Linked DNA regions of Caenorhabditis elegans. The protein of the gene in region 1 purifies or fractionates together with the protein of each later gene. This does not show direct contact. Each region holds a gene or a part of one and is shown in the gene's direction. Other genes may lie near its edges.

Evidence for each region.
Region 2: the proteins of golg-2 (region 1) and F29G6.1 fractionate together in Caenorhabditis elegans (co-fractionation; one large-scale study listed by BioGRID). This does not show direct contact.

The regions. Positions count from the first base shown.
Region 1 is NC_003280.10:5,038,335-5,042,265, reverse strand, and holds the start of golg-2 (Golgin subfamily A conserved domain-containing protein), read left to right. Parts: upstream 1-2,174; 5' UTR 2,175-2,231; coding exon 2,232-2,288; intron 2,289-2,343; coding exon 2,344-2,535; intron 2,536-2,581; coding exon 2,582-2,656; intron 2,657-2,742; coding exon 2,743-2,838; intron 2,839-2,887; coding exon 2,888-3,856; intron 3,857-3,912; coding exon 3,913-3,931. Other genes in the region: F33G12.7 (uncharacterized protein), read left to right, coding at 1,587-1,703, 1,750-1,837, 1,888-1,985.
Region 2 is NC_003284.9:11,500,258-11,504,188, forward strand, and holds the start of F29G6.1 (Kazal-like domain-containing protein), read left to right. Parts: upstream 1-2,009; 5' UTR 2,010-2,204; coding exon 2,205-2,295; intron 2,296-2,668; coding exon 2,669-2,785; intron 2,786-2,843; coding exon 2,844-2,924; intron 2,925-3,656; coding exon 3,657-3,843; intron 3,844-3,891; coding exon 3,892-3,931.

The DNA.
Region 1 (3,931 bases):
TATTGCAGGTGTAAGTGTATCCAGTAAATTGAGCAGTCACTGTAATTTTTTTTAAAACTTTTCAGTGATTTCCTTCCTATTTAGAAAGTTTCTTGAATAATTGAAATTACCACATTAGCCAATATGAATCCGTGAATTTTACCGATTTTTACGAAGATTACGATATTTGGCCTCGCCACGAACTATTTAAATGTTCTCAAATTGAATCTGTTAAAAATGTATGCGCCTATAAGTCTTACAGTAACCCATAGTTGGTTACTGTACTCCTTAGAGGCGCAAACTACTTTACCGTGTACTCGACGGACATATTTCGGTCGTAGCAAGATCAAGGACTGTATTTTTGAGTGAAAAACTGAATAATAATAGGTTTTACCTCACTTCGTGTGTTTTCTATACAAGTTTGGAATTAATATATAACCGCAGCCGCCAAAGGAGAATTCTTAATTCATTTGCGCAAAAATTAAAAAATAGTTTTGTAGAAATATTTTTGTTCCGAGAAAGTAGCCGTTCTCCTATAGGATATTATAAATATTGCTGAAGTGGAGAGAAAGTTTATAGTACAGTACTCCAAAAAAAATTCAGGGTATATCCGAGTCGCTAAAAAGGAGATTCGATTCGATTTTCTTCTGCAGTCACGAATTCAATTCAATTGGGAATAAATTCGAAACAAAACTAAACCAAAAACTTGCATAAAACATTTGAAAAAAGTGGCGCGGAAGTGACACTGACGGCTGTCCTTTATGTCCGTCCATGTACACAGCTGGAGTAGAAAGATCGATTGTGCTCAGAGCGTGATTTGGAGGAAGGTCGTATTTTATATGCAAGTGACAGTTTCAGATAACACATTTTTTCAGAGAACTACAGTAATGACATTGATTATTTTTCCGAAAGGTTTCTAGGTACTGAACAATTGGTCTTCAAAAATTTCGGAAACTCGTATCAGTGTTTTTCCAAATATTTTTAAAAACTGAGCGAATAACCAAAATATAATCTTCAAATTTGCTTGTGTATTCTAATGCTTTACAGTATACAGAGATAATAGGCTTGTTTATGTTCTCCTACAGTACCCCTCCACACTCGGGAATTATATATTCCTCATTTATCCTTCATTTTTAAATATTTTACATATATCTCATATGAATTCGTTGCTACTATGATCACCATTCTTTTTAATTTTCAGTTTAACACTGTCATGAAAAGTTTTGAAGAACATTTTCCAATATTCACTTCTATGTACTCATAAATTTCGTTTTCCTGCGTATTGTGTCTCTAGTAAGTGCCAATGGGGCGCGTTTTCATCAAAAATTTTTGAAGATATTTTTTTTCCTAGTATTTTTTTATTAATTTTCTTCACATTTTTTTCAAATTTAATACATTCGATTATATAACATATATTTTGCTTCATAAAATTCCCCATTTCCTATGTCCGTTTAAAAATATTTTGTCCCCTTCCGGAATTCCATGACCAATTCAATTCCTTCTAAAATATCAAATTACTGGAAGACTTTGACTTCTCGCTTTGTCCTTTTCGTTTCCAATTTTTAAAACAAATAAAAAGGCAGAAAATAAAACAGATTTTGTTCCAGATGAGATTGACTCGGATTTTGCGTGTTTTAATCAGAAGAAAAGACGGGCAGGCCGAATGGAAGGAAATCACGGAAAATCAGTTACCTAAAGGAGGAAAGAAGCTTTCTTTTAGAGAGGTCTATTTTGATAATCAATTTTAAAAACGAATTAAGTATTTTCCAGAACTCCCTAATCGCATTTGGAGTAGGCATGCTGATATTTTCTTATGCCTACTTCCAAGATGAGATCAATCCTGATTCAAAGTGGGCTAGTGAGTTGATATTCTCAATTAAAATGTTATCTTCAACTACTTAATTCTAGAAGCATACCGCACGTTCACACGAGAACCTCTTGCCTGGCTCACCAAGGGGCAAACCGATTCGCCTGTCTCATCTGATCACAAGCCTCCAGTTTTCTAATTTGCTCGGTTGTTTTTTAGCATTTATTTCCAAAGTTTCGTTAGTTATTTGTACATAAACCTATTATTTTTTCTTTTTTGTGTGAATTTCTGCTGCTTTCATTGCGAACTCGCTTTGTTGTCTGCGCTATGTCGTCAATTGCGGTGTTTGCGTCCAACCACTAATTTCCACGTCTTTTTTCATTTTCAGCTTTTAAAATCGATAGATTTTACTGTTTTTCGGCGTAAAGCTGGATTAATCAGTGATATGGTCGATGCCGCTGCACCTGCCAAAGCTGAAATGCTGGCAGCGGCCAGGAAAAAGGTGAGAATCGTGAGGAAACTTTATTAAAACAAAGTTTATAGAGTAAATTTTACAGCTGAAAGACTTTGAAGCACGTCAAAGACTCGATGGACGTAATTCTCCTGCATCAAGTATCATTTCATCAGAGCCGGGTGCTGGAGCAGGTTTAAATGGACGGAGCAGCGTTGTCAGTGAAGATTCGACAGCGCTTCAAATTCCACACTCATCTTCTTCTGCACAAAGTTTGAATGCAAGAAATGGATTGGATGTGAGAAAATCGATAACATCGTTAAATGAGTAAATGTTTTCTTCAGGCTTCACCATTTCAACCGAACGGAAACGAATGGTATCAGGCATATACACAATTGAAGACCCAGCATGACGAATTGGTAAGGATAATGAGAAATTGACAAATACAAAAACTAATTCGTTAATTATATGAATAATGATTTTATTAAAAAAAAAATCATTTTAGTGTGCCCATTACTCCCAACTTCATTCCGCTTATTCACAAGTCAATGCAAATGGAATACATGTGGATACAGAAAATCAAATTGTCCAACTCCAAAATGTAAGGATTACTCGTTTTATTTATTTTAATTTAATGATGGAGTATTCAGGCATTGTCTGCAATGGTTGAAGAGAAAGTTTCGTCTCAAAGTGATCTTCGTCAGGCAAACAAGCAAATCGAAAAACTTCGACACAAGCTGGCTGCTGCAGAGAACATTGCCAACCAAATGAGCAATTCAACATCATCTGGACTTTCGTCAAACGAAATTCGAAAACTCAATGAAGCAATTGCACAAAAAGATTCCCTATTAACTGCACGTCATCAAGAGCTAGAAGGAGCTCGACGAGAAGTTGCATCAATGCAAGCTAACCTGCTAAATGTTCAACACGAGAGAAGTGAAGCACAAGCACGTGTGAAAAGTATGATAAAAGAAACGGCGGCTCAAGAAAATCGCATCAGTCAGCTCATGAAAGACATTCAAATGAAAGATCTTTATTTGAAACAACTTGGAGCCACAGGACCGCCGGGAGGGATTCCGAATGAGAATACGAATTATGAAAACTTGCAACGTGAGCTGGAGAACGTTAAAGCTGAAAAATCACGTCTTCTCGTCGAATCTGCGACATTAAAAGCTCACTATGCTGATCGAGAGTATGCACTTCAACAAAAGCAAGCAGAGATGGCTTTAGAAATCGAGCATTTGCATAATCAAAAATTTTCTTCAAACGATCAAGTTGAACATCTCGAAAATCAACTCGAAATTGCTCAATCTGAACTGCAGAAGCTTCAAATGAATATGGATGTTTCTGAGAGGCATGATGAAATTCCAACTATCACAGAAGAAGATGTAGCAAGACGGATTCGTGAAGCGTGTTTCGTTGAAAGAGGGAAGTGGGAACGAAGAAGTGAGGATGATCAGAAACGCAGAGAAGAAGAAATTCTAGAAAAAGACAAAGTTATTTTCGAAAGAGAACAGTCATTGGCAGAACTTGAAATGAAATATCGACTTTTGGAAGAACGAACGTTAGAGTCAACTGCAAACGGAGCTGATTTGTTGTCTCTTTCAGAGCAACTACAGGTAGATTTACAATTTTCAATATTTTTCCCTGATTTTTCAAATTTTCGAATTTACAGAACGAAAAAGCGACCGTAT
Region 2 (3,931 bases), on another chromosome or scaffold:
TACGTTTTACTTTGAATTAGACTATTATCATTGTTGGGAATGTTTACTTGTTGCTTGTGATTTTAAAAACGGTTCAGTTTTCAAGTAATCAGATCGATCTCGGAAACCCTGAAATGCAGATTTGTCATGGATATGTATCAAAACGAATGCTATGTGGTTAATATGTTGTACTAATTCGGTTAATATATAAACTTGGTTGTAATAATTCTAAACGCTCTTCGTGCATACTTAGATGATTTTTTGAGATCGTAGCATTTTAATTGACTTTTGAACAGATTGTAGTTGTTTTTTTATAAATTTCAAAAATTTTGTAGAAAGTATTAAATAGTGTAGGGCAGAGAAAGAATGTTATGAAAAAGATTGTTTTATATTTCTTTGTGTTTTATACTAAAATTTGCATAATCACAGTGTTCCTCGATATGTTTGTGCAATTATGATAGTTCGCTTTTGATCGCATACCGACTCGTTGGAAATATGTAGTTTCCTGATATGATTCAATTTCTTATCAGACCTATCAATTTAAAATTGCCAACAAATTAATTTACGTAAGGAGTACACACCCAAAATGGAACTCAAGTCAAATTTTGTAGCAATGTTTTGAAACAATTTTGTAAAAAAATGCTTATTAGAAACATTGTCTAAAAATATTTAAAAATTATTTGGCTAAAACTAAATATTTTCCGCTCAGGCCGACTAACATCAACCGCACCATGGAAAGAATCAAATATCTTTGTTTATAAGATATAATTTGTGTACCTTCAACTACATATGAACACACCCATGTTCGAAAATGATTACATTACTGCTGGCACTAAATATCTGCAAATGCAATTTTTCAATTATTTCTGAATCAGTAATAGTGATTTCATCAGGTCAAGTGAGTGTCGTCTGTGAAACTATTGAGATGAGTAAAAGAAAATTTAAATCTTACTATGATAACGAGGATTATGTTCCGGAACTCAATGAACTTAACTTAACTGAACGTTAATGAACTGTTTTGAAGATTGCACTTAAACTGTACTGAATACAGTTGCTCGTTTCTTTAAACTAATCTTCCGATTAAAATAGTTTTGAACTCTTGAATAACATACCGTATTTCCTCTATTAGTCTTGCATGCGAAAATAATTTTCAATCGTCACATAGGGGTGCAAGACTAATAGAGGAAATACGGTAATAGCGTAACAAGCATAACAAATGATTGAAAAATTGGATTTTTGGCTAAAACTACTCCTGTAGAGCCGAAAGTATCGAATATCGTACTAAAACTGGTCAAATCATTTTGAAATGTTTATATTAACAGACAAAAACGACAAAGAATGAGTTTGTACCAACCTTTGTAAAAAGAAAAGCACAGTCCCCCACAGTGTTTAAACATAAATGGTTTAGAAATGTGAACAAAATCATTTCCAATTGTTTTTTCCACATTTTTAAAATATTTTCAGTCAAAAACGTGTTTGCGTCGCTTTTCGACTACAAAAAAACAATGTTTTAAACGCTTTTGAGAACTTTTACTATAATATTTTCTAATTTTAACACCATTGTAGTAAGCTTCGATAACTTCTCTACTGACGCTACTTCACCTTAGTTGAGCCCAAAAGTACCTATGCTTCCAATAAAGCATAGCAATGCTGATATCATAGTGATTATCAGTTTTTGATTTTCTGAACAACTTTGCAAAGCTTGTTGAGACCACACATAATATTTTTACACATTTACAATGGGCATCAAGTTGTTTCATTAAATTCGCATCGTTATCACACTTACACCGCAACGGAAGCTGATATGGATCTGTAGCAAGTTCAACTAACAAATTATCATCTTAAGTGTCACTTTTCAAAATTTCCGTAGCTAGTGTAATCCCATCGAATCAGCTGTTCGATCTTTCAATTAAAGCTCGTTGCTATCCTTTCCCTTTTACGCACCCGTCAACCTCTCATTTTCTCGACGTAAGACCAAAAAAAAATGATGGGAGGAGTTACTGACGATGAGTAAAGAGAACTTGCCTTTTCGCAAGTTGACGGCCTCCAGTGACGGCGCCCGCATTTGACGTTACCCCTTGTTTGCAAAGTCTACGGAATCCTTCCGTGTCTTAAGAAGTACTTCCATACGGTTTCACACATCTGTTTTTGTGATTTATCCCATTGGGTTCTTAATCACTGATCATCTCCCTCAATCGTCTTCATGTGGAACACCGCCAACCAGCATGCTTATCCGTAGAAACGTGTTTCTTTCTATCTTATTTCTCCTAATAATTGTTATTGATAGCAGGTGTGAAGAAGAAGAGAATCAAAAAGGTATACATAATTAACAATTGGCCACGAATAAAAATTTTTTAAAAATTATCTTAGTTAGTTCATTTATCTTTTTCCTTACAAAAGTCTTACTTCCTTCCTCGTTTCCTACATCCATTTACCTACTTGTGTGTTCTTACCACTTTCTGATATTCTTTTTGAAGGTTATTTTTCTGTTCAACAGGTCTAGCACAGAAAAACGTGTGATAGATATGAAGAAGAAGTCAAAGATGAGACAAGTGTGAACATCTTTATCCGGATGTCTTCTTTTTATTCCTTTTGGTGGCTAATGGCTAGAGTAATGTGTTGAATGACAGATATGATGTTTATGAGTGAAAATACATGCAAGAGAAAATGCTAATTTTGCTTTTTACAGGATTCTCGCCACCACCGGATTGCGACTGTCCTAGCGTGATTCGTCCTGTTTGCGGGACCGACAACGTTACTTACAACAACTTGTGCTTTTTGCGATGTGTTCAACGCACAAACGAAGGTACTCTTTGTTTTTTAGATATGACCCCTATGTTACGATTAATGACTTATTTTCACAGATCTTCTTTTCTTTTACAACGGCACCTGCTGCGACAAAAAGGAGTGTGAGAAAGTAGGAACGCCGATATGTGACAACTTCGGTTAGTGTTTGAGAATTAGATTGGAAAAAAAATCATTTGCACTCGTTCAAATAATATACATATTAGAAAAAAGTGTGTAACGTCTAGAACTAATCGCATTATAACAGAAGTTGTTGAACTTTCAGAATTTTAATTAATTTTGATAAAAATATATTGGTTTCATTTTCCATTCAGTTGTGAAGTATATATAACGTAATTGGGGTTAAAACAATGACATTCTGAAAAAAAAAACGTACGTGGAGTGCATAAAAAACTGATCCTAATAATATTTCTCAAAAAAAAGTTTTTTATTAAATAAAAACTTGCAAACGGTACGCTAGTTTAAAAATCGAATATGTTCACGGAGCATCCGATTAAAAATATTCAAACCTCTTTTTTAATGTCAATATTTGTTCCTTTTTAAAATTGAAAATTTTATTAATGTTCTAGATGGCAGAACTAAACTATAAAAACTCATTGTGATAAACTTAGTGATTGTAACAAATAAATCAATCTTTATAATTTTATTAATGAAATATTTAAAATACTTTCGAACACGAAAGAAGTTTTATAATGTTTCAACATTTTGACAAGAATTTTATACATAATATTTCTGAAAACAAACAAAATTATTCTACTGAATACTTTATTTCGAAAGTTTAAAATAACTTCTCACATGAAAGAAGAAGTTTCCAAAAATTATTGTTTACCCTGTAGTTTCTAAATATTTTCACAGAAGATTTTAATTTTTAGGAGAAACACATATCAATGATTGTCATTTTGCTCAATTTCAATGTATCATGAAGAAAAGCATGGGCTTGTCGTTGACGAAACTACACATGGGCCGATGTTCTTCGAAAGACTGCAATCATAATTGTACGAATACTGAATTCGACCCGGTATGTGACACGAATGGGTCTGTGTATCGAAATCTGTGTGTGTGAGTGGACAGTTCGATCACCGTCTGATAAACATGTTCCGTTTCAAGGTTCCAAATGCGAAGATGCGAATTACAATTAGAGAGTCAA